Neodiprion lecontei: one gene and its partners. The protein of the gene in region 2 binds, or shares a complex with, the protein of the main gene of each other region. Links are inferred from orthologs where the notes say so. Each region holds a gene or a part of one and is shown on either strand. Other genes may lie near its edges.

What was found.
Region 1: splicing factor 3B subunit 3 (region 2) and WD40 repeat-containing protein SMU1 share a complex: the UniProt entries of both Homo sapiens proteins name them as parts of the spliceosome B complex. The link is inferred for Neodiprion lecontei from reciprocal best matches to the Homo sapiens genes SF3B3 and SMU1.
Region 3: splicing factor 3B subunit 3 (region 2) and microfibrillar-associated protein 1 share a complex: the UniProt entries of both Homo sapiens proteins name them as parts of the spliceosome B complex. The link is inferred for Neodiprion lecontei from reciprocal best matches to the Homo sapiens genes SF3B3 and MFAP1.

Annotation. Positions count from the first base shown.
Region 1 is NC_060260.1:6,244,641-6,248,395, forward strand, and holds WD40 repeat-containing protein SMU1, read right to left. Parts: upstream 2,707-3,755; 5' UTR 2,573-2,706; coding exon 2,547-2,572; intron 2,480-2,546; coding exon 2,413-2,479; intron 2,324-2,412; coding exon 2,180-2,323; intron 2,074-2,179; coding exon 1,959-2,073; intron 1,847-1,958; coding exon 1,204-1,846; intron 1,106-1,203; coding exon 1,004-1,105; intron 910-1,003; coding exon 573-909; intron 434-572; coding exon 335-433; 3' UTR 157-334; downstream 1-156. Other genes in the region: cleavage stimulation factor subunit 2, read left to right, coding at 2,997-3,057, 3,153-3,231, 3,454-3,755. UniProt on the Homo sapiens protein: Involved in pre-mRNA splicing as a component of the spliceosome. Regulates alternative splicing of the HSPG2 pre-mRNA. Required for normal accumulation of IK.
Region 2 is NC_060262.1:21,779,404-21,783,158, reverse strand, and holds the start of splicing factor 3B subunit 3, read right to left. Parts: upstream 2,803-3,755; 5' UTR 2,653-2,802; intron 2,487-2,652; 5' UTR 2,402-2,486; coding exon 2,005-2,401; intron 1,799-2,004; coding exon 1,626-1,798; intron 1,547-1,625; coding exon 1,050-1,546; intron 880-1,049; coding exon 714-879; intron 466-713; coding exon 297-465; intron 1-296. Other genes in the region: uncharacterized protein LOC107222893, read left to right, coding at 3,500-3,735. UniProt on the Homo sapiens protein: Component of the 17S U2 SnRNP complex of the spliceosome, a large ribonucleoprotein complex that removes introns from transcribed pre-mRNAs.
Region 3 is NC_060266.1:18,257,190-18,260,944, forward strand, and holds the start of microfibrillar-associated protein 1, read left to right. Parts: upstream 1-862; 5' UTR 863-1,034; coding exon 1,035-1,128; intron 1,129-1,272; coding exon 1,273-1,952; intron 1,953-2,194; coding exon 2,195-2,364; intron 2,365-2,769; coding exon 2,770-3,205; 3' UTR 3,206-3,755. UniProt on the Homo sapiens protein: Involved in pre-mRNA splicing as a component of the spliceosome.

The DNA of each region.
Region 1 (3,755 bases), on a different chromosome or scaffold from region 2:
AAACTGTCATGTTTCATTTGGCGACCTTTCGGCTGGACCCAGCCAGCCATCATCAGAGTTAAAAGACATTCCTAAGCGTTTGGATGTTCATAGTACGATTTTCTGGTTTTCCCTAAATTCTAAGTTTGCCGCAACAAATTATAACACGATTGTTCATTAGATTTAAGAACATATGATTTAATGACCTAATGGTAGAATACATGGTCGACATATGGAATATGCATTGATGGGGAGTCCGCTCGTTAGTTTATATCGTGTCTGGAATATGCCTATTTGACTTCGGCATAAGAAGGGTAATCGTACAATTCAACAATGCTTATGTTTATATGAAAATTTACGGTTTCCACAGTTTGAGAAGTCCGTCTTCACTGTATGAGCAGAGCAAGTTTTGATGCGGATGATGAGCTAACCCGATTACATCTTTTTCATGGATCTGCGAAAAACAATATTGACAATAGTTTTATCTCTTGCAAGTTTAATATTAAAATAAATCGAATAACAGGGCTTACGTTTGAAATTTCTAGGAAACGAGGTATTCGTTTCAATAAATCAATGACATTAGTTGTACTCACGTTGAGGGTTCGCTCAAGTTTTCCCGACGAAGTGGAGAAACAATACAAAACGAGATCCTCTCCAACACAGTATATGAATTCTCCACGCGGGCTAACACAGGCGCAAACGAAATCTCCACCTTCTCGTTTTCCACTGGAGAAGGATCTGACTATTTGTCCTTGCATGTTCATTATTACCACAGTGTTTGATCGATTACAAACGACAAAATGTTCCGGATTGCGAGGTAACGGATGGATACTGTTGACAGTAAGATCTGCAGCTCCCAAAGATTTGTATGTGCCTATGCACTCTGTTGTTTTCAAGCCCCAGAGCTTGACTGTTCCATCTGAGGAAGCACTGCAGATCAAAAATGTTTATTAATTTTCAATCAGTTTGAAGAAGCAGACTATGTGTTGGGAAAAAACTTAATTTTGTCACATAAATTTTTCACCTTATTATGCTGTGACCGTCCGGGGTGAAAACTACTTCATTGACAAATGAGATATGGCCTCGGAATTCTTTCAATGTCTTTCCAGACTTTAACCCGTGTATCCTGCAACAAAAAATTGTCAAACGTGAAAATAAATGTAATGGTTGTGCGAAAGAAATTCTGCCAAAGTTTATCATTTCTATTTTTACAAAATGACGTACCTTATAGTGGTGTCGAATGATGCGGATAGTATCTGACTGTTGTCTCTACTGAACTGAAGACAAGTGACACCTTTGGCATGTGCTTTTTCGAATCTGCGGAGGCATTGGCCACTTTGAACACGCCAAACTTTCATTTTCCCGTCTTGGCCACCACCGGCAAGCATTTCGCTATCGCGGCTAAATGACATTGATAAAACGGCTTGTTCCATCATCATGAAGTTATCCTGTGCCTGGTACTTCAAGTCTTTTCGTATTTTTCCAGTAGTAAAGTTCCACACCTCTATAAACCCGTCGACGGAGCCTGTTACCAAATATTGTCCATCTGGTGAAAATCTCGCACACTCAACATGTGACTTTTGCCCAAACTTAATTTGCTTAGATAACTGAGTTGGGTATTTTTCATCTTCCTGATCTCGAACAGCTGCTTTGCCTCTGAACAAATCTATGGTTGTGCCAGGAGGCAAGAGCCCTTGGTGCTGCTGCCATTTCAAAGCTTGTCCGAGCAAAGCTAGCAGCCTGCTGGATGGTACGACTGATACTTCACCCGCCAAAGCAGTTGCTATATGAGCTCTTCGCTTTTCCTTTGTACTTCCATCAGGGTATGCTTCCCTTGGGTCAAAGTAGGACCGTGCCAAAAGATTTTCTGGAGAAAAGTGGAAGGTGAGAAAAATTATTCAATTGAAAATTAAATAAACATCTGTAGCTTGTCAGTTAAGAAACTAGTTATGAAAGTTGTATTAGTTATTCTGTTTTACCAAGATGGATGTATCTTTCAGGTTCCTGCTGCTTCATCATTATCATCGGGTCAGTTTGCCTCAGCAGAGATCTAGCTGCGCCCAATTCTCTTAGTTCAATTAGTTCTAAAACAACCTGTGAATAAACATTTGTGATATCGGATTTCTGTTATAAGTTTGACAGTTCACCTGACTTTCTGCGTCTTTGAAAACATATGTAAACAATGAAAGTTGTTAAATACCTGTTCGTACAAATCAATGAGTTTTTTATCAGGCAATTTGAGGGACTGTGTCGCTTTAAGCACAGTATCCCAATGTCCATTGTTAATATCCGTAACAAATCCGTCAACGCTGTCAACTGTATTCAACGAGACACCAGTTTCCTCCTGGTTAAGTATTTAGAGGATTAAATTAACAGTTTGATCAATTAACAAGGAGTATTTCCTCGTAGGATTATGAATAAATTTAATATTACCTGCAAGGTTTGTAGTGTTTTTACAAGATTAGACTCCTTCAAGTACTGTTGAATCAGTCGTATAACACTGAAATAAGAAGATATTGTAGTTTGATCGGGACTAATAATTAATTATGTACAGAGTAGATACGTACTCAGCGGATTCAATTTCGATTGACATTTTTACGAGCGAACAACTATTTATTTACTTGCTGTCACAATGTTTACTTCGGTCAAAAGTTTAATACCATCCTAACCCTAAATAGCAGTCGGTAATAGAATGGCAGGCACTTGATATCGCGGCATTAAGTGCGGAACAACGTAGACGAGCGTTTCAGTAGTTGCAGAAAATTCCGCTAGGAAGACAATCATCAGTATCTATCTAAATATCTAGTCAATGACTTCGTTCCGTGGAAATATTATTATCAAGTTTATTATCAATTTAGTTTTGAATAACCCACGGTGTTCTTGTTGCATGTTGATTGATGTTGATCACGTTCGAATGAAAACACCTGTCTTCTGTCCTTCGGGTGACAAACGTTAATGTATCGTTCGAATTCGAGCAATAAACAAAATCTGTAAATTCGTAAATAAAAACAGCAAAAATGAGTAATTCAACTATTTCAGATCAATCCCTGATGGATAAATCAATGCGGAGTGTTTTTGGTAATTATGAATTAACTTTTTTTTGAATTATAACGCAATGAATTGTTAACCGGATAATTCAGTCGCCCAAAAATACGATTGCAATTAATTTTCAGTCGGAAATATTCCGTATGAAGCAACAGAGGAGAATTTAAAGGACATATTCAGCGAAGTTGGACCAGTTCTCTCATTCAAGTAAGTATGCTCCGTAACGTTCTTTACCCTAACCTCAAACAGTCTTTTATTGTGAAACAAAAAAAAAAATTCAATTACTTTACAGGAATTGGCAGGAAAAATCCATTAAAAAGTTTAAATTTATCTAACACTTTATTAGCATCTCATTATTTCCATAGTGAAAAATACTTATTATTGATTTATTTTGAAACTTGTGTATATCTTTTCGTATCTTTTTCTCAGGCTGGTTTTTGACAGAGAAACTGGAAAGCCGAAAGGATATGGATTTTGCGAGTATAAGGATCAAGAGACAGCGCTTAGCGCAATGCGTAACCTGAATGGCTATGAAATAGGTGGAAGGACACTGAGAGTGGACAATGCTTGCACAGAAAAAAGTCGGATGGAAATGCAAAGCCTGCTTCAGGGACAGAACACTGAAAATCCTTATGGCGAGGCAGTTCAAGCAGACAAGGCACCAGAGGCTATAAGCAAAGCAGTTGCATCGTTACCTCCTGAACAGATGTTTGAATTGATGAAGCAGATGA
Region 2 (3,755 bases):
ATAGGATCCTCACCTTTTAGTCTTTCTGCATTGCATCAGTCAACCACTAGCTCGCTGGCAGCCTGAAAGAGAGAACTGGTGTTTGATAAAAGTGTATCAAGCCACCAGGTTCGTTAATATTCTTTTTAAACGGACTCTAGCTAGCGGATTTGAATACTGCGTTAAAAATCTTGCAAATGAATGAAATGAAACGAACACACTGCACGTTTCCAGGGCTACGACAGGCTTGCATCTTCTTGCAAGTGGATCAACAAAACGTTCCTGTTTATCTTTTGAACTATAAAACTTGAACTAACCGTCAACTCTTCGTTTCACTGTCCAGACTGCATTTGGGTTTCCAGGCAGCTCACTGACTGCCATTTCCGAAACTTCTAGTCCATGACGCAAAACTCGCAGCGTGGATCTTGGACCTCTACCACAAGTCATGTACAGTTGAGGAGTATCTTCATTGGCCAAATCAGCGACCTGCATACACGAAGCAAGCAAAATGATCTATTTTGCTGTCCCAAAACACGGATAACGAGATTGTAAAACATCTCAAGTGATTATCATTCCTTGATTCACTTCGGCTTGTAATAGTACAAAACAAAGGCGACAAGGAATTTTTTTTATCGCATTACAACTCAGGAGAAAGTGCAATGATGATTCGATCTCCTACTTGGAAATGCTTCCCTAATTTTGGATATTGAAAAAGTAGTTTCAGTTTTAGGTACCTGACAAGTCATGATCGGTGATAGGCTGTCCATTTCATCAACTAAAACCAAGTTCCTGAGTGGTCTGGGAGCAAAAAAGAAGGTATCACCTTCTTCAAGTGGCATTGCTGAACTGAACTCTGGTTCGTCGTCATCGTCACCAAGATGAGCAATCTGGTACAGGTAGCTGCAATTAAGTATAACGATTACAAACACGTCTGATCAATTGGAAGCTGAACCGACATAGCCATAAATGGTTAACATCATCAGTATCAAAAGTTGAAACCACTGGTAATTGGTTGGATAAACGGATTGATAAAAAGATCACGTGATGTTTCAGCTAAAAATTAGACTTACTGATTTCCAAATTCAGAGGCGACGAACAAGAAACCTGTTTTCAGGACACACATGCTTGTGGCGACAGGCACTGTGTCGAAATACTTGAGTTTTATTTCCGTTACCATATCTTCATCAGTTTCCAAGGTGATTTTGAAAATATCCCCTTGCTCAGTTTGGGCAAGAAAGAAGAACATGCTCTTGGTTTTGTGAGTTGCTGAGCAGACGAAGATCATCCCGCGCTCAGGGTCGTCCAAATCATTTCTACGTCTGGGAATTGGGCAACGGATATCGTGCTGATCCCCAAGATTCTTGTAGGTTAGGTAATTTTCTGAACAGATAAGGACACCGCTGGGACCATCATTTCCTCCAGGAACAGAAACAAGGAAATTTGCATGCTCCTCTAGAGGTTCACTGTGCTTTCTCACTACGTGATTCAATCCAAGATCAAGCTCGTATAAGGTTAACGTTTGCTGAGTTTTAACAGCTGCGTCTCCAGTCGGATCACTGTCTGCTTCCTGTACAGGGAAGCCGAAAAGCAAAATTAATTACCTTTCACAACCCTTGCAAATAAATCACAAGGAATGTGTATCTCACCTCATAGTCAATTTCCAAGCAGGCAAACATTGGATTTTCAAATCCAACATCTACACCAACTGTGTGATAGACTAGAGTGTTGCTTTTGTGGGCTTCAAGGGGAGACGAGATCGTTAAACGGGCTTCTGGATCCCTGTTCAATATGTAAACCAGTTTCTGCTTCTCGATAGCACCTGAAAAAGCCAATTTTACCGTCAGAAATGAAAATATTATATTACATTGATTCAATTAAAAAAACTACCAGTTTTAATAGTACCATCAGTTTGTAAGTTTGTAATCAATGGATAATCAGTTGAAACACGGATCATAAGATCAGCATCATTTAGCACACAACTGGTCACAGTTAAGCTGAGTAAAAAATTTAAATTCTCATAATTACCGATCATAACTGCTCTTCCTTTTGGATCAATGGCTAGATATTGTCCAGGTACAATTCTTCTGCAACCACTTTTGCCAAAGGTTTCTTGGTGCACCTTGTCGAAGGCATTTTTAGCAGGAATATATTCTAGAATGACAATGCGACCAGAGTCGGACCCAACGACAATGTAATCCTTGGTGCCCCCCGTAAGCCTGAAGGCCATAAGAGACCTGACGATGCCAAAAACCTCGACGGTCAAGAGGGTGTGAACTTTTCCAGTGTTCGGGTCGGGCCTAAGCAGCTCGAGCGACTTGCCGCGTGACACAAGTATCTCTTGCATTTTACTGCCGGAAAAATTACCATGGACGGCATGGGTGATGCCGGTGGCGCGCTGCAGTGTTAGATTATACAGATACATCGTGAATGCGGCTGATAATCCGTTATAAGAAGTTTAATTTGTCAGCGTTAGCTTCGTGCTCGCAGATAAGTTTCAGGCTGCCATGCTGCAAAGAGAAATAATCGCGATGAATAAGCTGTCGGGTAGAAAAAAAAAACCGCCGCGCCTATACGTAGTTTTGATGAAAATGCATTTCTCGGGTTACGAAGTTGTTTGGGAAGATAAATACGACATGATATAGAGAGAGACTGATTAGATGAACAAGACTTTACCTGATAGGTGTTTCGAATTCGTAAAAATCCGCCGATGTCAGCGGATTTTTATTTAATGTTTCGGGACCGCGTAGCCGAAACGTGGACACGGCACGGCGACTCGGAGAGATGAAATGAAAATGGCGGTGACCGTCGTTCCACCGCGGGAGGGATCGAAAACGGAAGTTACGTCTGGTCGCTGATGAGCGTCGCGGAAGTGACGTATAAGCTAAAAGCTTCCAGGGAGCAAACCGTAGAAAATTTACCAACCGCCCCTGGCGGGTGTATGGGCAAGCTATACTCGCGGATATAATAATTGCGATTTATGTTATATTTGCAAATGCAAAGTAGTTAATTAATTGTAAAATGATAGTATAGGGGCGATTAGGCCCTAAATTTGTGATAACAACGGTGCTGTGAATGCTGCGGTGATACCGGCTGGGGTAAGTTAACCGAAATAATATAAAGCCAGACAGGAGGGGGGCGGCGGCTTAATCGGCTAATGTTTTTTTCACACTCCCTGGGCACCGACTGACTGCCGCCCGCTGCTTCTGCATTTGCCGAAAACAACAATGGCCGAAAGCAATAAATATCGTTAGCCTCGCGGCGTACCCGGGATTCGTGGCAGATATCAAACATGTCTACAGACCGATTATTTTTTTTTCTACAAAATTTCTCGTGTACCAATAAACACGAAGTAAAACAGAGAAAAAAGCACCGTGGAATAAAATGTCACTGATTCCGCAATTTTGACAGATTTTCTGAGGTAAACAATAGCTTGTTATTTGGTCCCAAACAATTCCGAGCACCACGTATATCGCACATTATCTAATGTGTGTTTTTAATCATTATTATTATTATCTCCAGAATGGACTTGGCGGAAACTATGAAAAATATAGTGGCTAAGGGTATGCAGACAGAGATGGGACCTCCTGGAGGTGGTTATCCGGGGGGAGCGAACGGGGCTGGATATGTCACTGAGAAAATGTACATGCTGCTGCAGCTTTATTTGCAAAACAAGGGTTGGAATCCGAGCATCGAGTTACTCCAATGCTTTACCGAGCTTAAGGAGGCTTCCATGTTACCAAGCACCACCTACCTTCAGTGAGATGAGAATCAGTCAA
Region 3 (3,755 bases), on a different chromosome or scaffold from region 2:
CGCCGCACCGCCGGCAGCCCTTCCCTTCCCTTCGACGGCTAGTTTCTCACGACGTAACTGAACGACTTCCCCTACCCGCTATAATATCTTGTCAGCCGCCGAGCCTCATCGTCAGAAACTTTCGCTCGCCCCCTTTCCACTACTATCAAACCGCTGAGTAACGAAAAACGATCGTGGTTCGGGAGGCTGTGAGAACTACCCGCACTATCTTTGGATTAATTCTCGAACTTGATCCGTACCAATTGATAAGTTCGAACACTCCTCGAACGCTGTTTGCAACTACATTATTTTTATTCTTCGACAGCTTAGACGCTTCAATGCCTCCGCTGCTTCGCTAACTGAGCACATGTCTGTTGGTAGTCGCTGAATTTCTTGTGTTCAATAGAGCCATAGAAGATTTGTTTACTTCGATGTTTCTCACACAATTTGTGTCAAAATGAGCCTTCTAATATGTATTCGAATTCTCGAAACGTGTCCGATGCGTTGGATGTTTGATAACACTGAATTTTATTCATTGCTGATTCAAATGATTTATCAAATATCAGTCGATGGTGCATTAGAAATGTTGATCAGATGAATTGCTTACCTACAATAGTCGATTGATCAGCGAATTATCTCCTCTGTCGGTAACAATGGTAACGGCACAACTGATATTGGACTGGGCACGTTGCTGGGTGTATTTGATGCGATTCCAAACATATCCTATGAGCACTGAACATTCCCTGCAAGTGAAACAGAATTCACTAATTATAAAAAACATTAGTGCAAAAGAGATAGAAAAATCTGCCAGTGCTGTCAACATCAAAACCAACCACCAGCGATGAGATCTGGATATCACAAGGTTACCAACCAAACAGCTGAACCAAATGACAAGGCTGGTAAAATGGCGTTTTGTTGTTGAAGCTGGTTGAAGCAGAGATGAGTAGGGAGTGAAGTCAAGTCCATGTTATTGACTCGCACGCCGTGAGCTGCTGTGAATTGCGATCATACGACAGCATTTGTAGATGACCGGTTAAACAAACAATTTCTATACAATGATGGATTATTTTGTGACTAATAACTCGTTGGCACCAGCACCCATGGGTATACAAAGTACCGCGGGTGCAGTGCCAGTTAAAAATGACAAAGGTGAGCTGATTTATTATGTGAGACACCTGTTTACTGTACTCCCAATAAGTTGCATACGTTTTAAAGCTTACTTTATTATGAAATTTAGGCATAAAGTTTTGTACAATTGAAGATATGCATTCAATTTTCGTTCAATATTTTCAGGCGAATTGTCGATGAAAAAGGTTAAGGTCCATCGTTATGTGTCCGGCAAACGTCCCGATTATGCGCCTATGGCGAGTTCGGATGAAGAGTCCGAGGATGAAGATTTCATGGAAAAGCGAACACTCAAACCTCTCGAGGAATCAGAGACTGTAACTGATATCCCTGTTCCGTCACACGGTAAACTGAGGGACGAGGATGATCCTAGGCTGAGGCGTTTAACTAGAATCGAGAAGCACAAGGAGGTCGATACAGAAATTCGTGTTGAAAGGCATCGGCACATTCACGAACCTGAGGTATTGGAGACTGAGCCTGAGCGAACGCGCGAAAGGATAAAATTGGAGAGCTCAGATTCCTCGGAGGATGAAGATTTGTCCGATTCTGAAATTGAAAGACGTCGAGACGCATTGAAACAGCGAGTTTTATCTAAGAAGGAAGCTGACCAGGAAATGTTTCATGAAGAAGATGAGGAGAAGCTCCGAACCAACAGCTCCGAAGATAGCTCAGAGTATGAAGAATACACCGATTCTGAGGAAGAAACTGGACCGAGATTGAAACCTGTTTTCGTCCGGAAAAAGGATAGGATCACTGTTATGGAAAAAGAGAAGGAAGCTATGAAACAAAAGCAGGCCGAAATAGAAGCCAAGAAAATGGCAGAGGAAAGAAAAAGGCAGACATTGAGGGTAATCCTTTTGGAAACTGATATTCATTCAATCTTGAATCCTTTCTAAACATGTTTTCACCCCTTATCAAGGTATTAAGGAAAGAGAAACTTTATATGTTGCGATTTCTTTCTTGTTCACTAACGACAAGCTTCACTTACCAACTTTTCGTCCAAGTAGACATTAAACAATCGAGCTAAACTAGACTACACACTTTGAAAATTGTGAATCTTTCGGCTGATGTTGATTTTGGTTATTTTTAGATGGTAGAAGACGCTATACGAAAAGAAACCCAAACTGGCAAGACTATAGTAGATCAGGAAGGAAACATAAATGATGTTTGCACCGACGATGAGAACGACGAAGTGGAATATGAGGCATGGAAACTACGCGAGTTGAAGAGAATAAAACGAGACAGAGAGGAACGAGAACAGTACGTAAACTCAAGAATATTTTCCACTCAAATCATTCTTTTAAAGATATCTTTGGGAATTCGTTTAATTTGAAACTGAAAAAACCATACTGCTAAAAATTTCGAACAAACGGAACATAAAAATGCCTGGGTTTTCAAAAAAGTCTAACTACCAATAAGGTTGAATTTAGTAACATTAACGCGTCGAAATATTGATAAAGAAGTACTATTTTGTAATGTTTAGATGACTAAAGAAGTTTTCGTGAAATACAAGAATGTTTCACCTCATTACGGTTCACTGAATTTTTGACAGTCCCAAAGTTGGGATATTTTTCCTAAATATGCATCGCGACATTATTGTTACAAATTTCAGTCTCATGACTACCACTGTAATCCAACTCAACCCTATATTTTTCTATCCAACAGATTGGAAAAGGAACGGTTAGAGATAGAGCGACTTCGCAATATGACAGAAGAAGAGCGTCGTCAGGAACTGCGTCTAAACCCAAAATTGGTAACGAACAAAGCAGCGAAAGGAAAGTACAAGTTTTTGCAGAAGTACTACCATCGCGGTGCATTCTATTTGGACAAAGACGATACAATTTTCAAACGAGATTTCTCTGGTGCAACGTTGGAAGATCATTTCGACAAAACTATATTGCCGAAAGTAATGCAAGTGAAAAACTTTGGGCGTAGCGGTAGAACCAAGTACACACATTTGGTAGATCAAGACACAACGCAGTTTGATTCACCATGGATTTCTGAGACCGCTCAAAACTTAAAATTCCACAATAACCAAGCTGCTGGAATGAAACAAGTTTTCGATAAACCATCGCTAAAAAAACGAGGCAATGAAAATTGATATGGTGCAGGATGAATTGTGTCTTTACAATGTTGGGAAATGAGACTAGGACCATTTACAAATGTTCAGTTTCACTTTACCTGTTGCGGACAATTCCGTTTGGGTCTTTAAAATTGAGGAACCCACTACGGGAAGGAAGAAATTACTTATTCATAACTCGGGTTATTTTTGTATAACTGATATCAATTTTACTCTTTAATTCATTCAATACAAAAATTTGACAATAATATATTTCTGGTTCACATTTAAAGCCCCAGTCATTCATCATAATTCTGGGTGAAAGATAAGTGTGGTAAAAAGGCGTTGAATAAATTTATAGGCATTTTCATTTTGAAGTAAAAATTACCCACAAAATAACTTTCACCTCGAAAATTATGAGCCAATGAAATTGTGATTTCAAATCATCGGTGACTAACAACTAGTCTGCATGTGTACATACAAAAGCCGATCGTTACTCTGGATATAGACGTAATTCAATACTGGAATGCCTACAATGTAATCGTAGGAAATAAATATCTGTGTTAGGCTAATAGAATGAATAGATAACTAA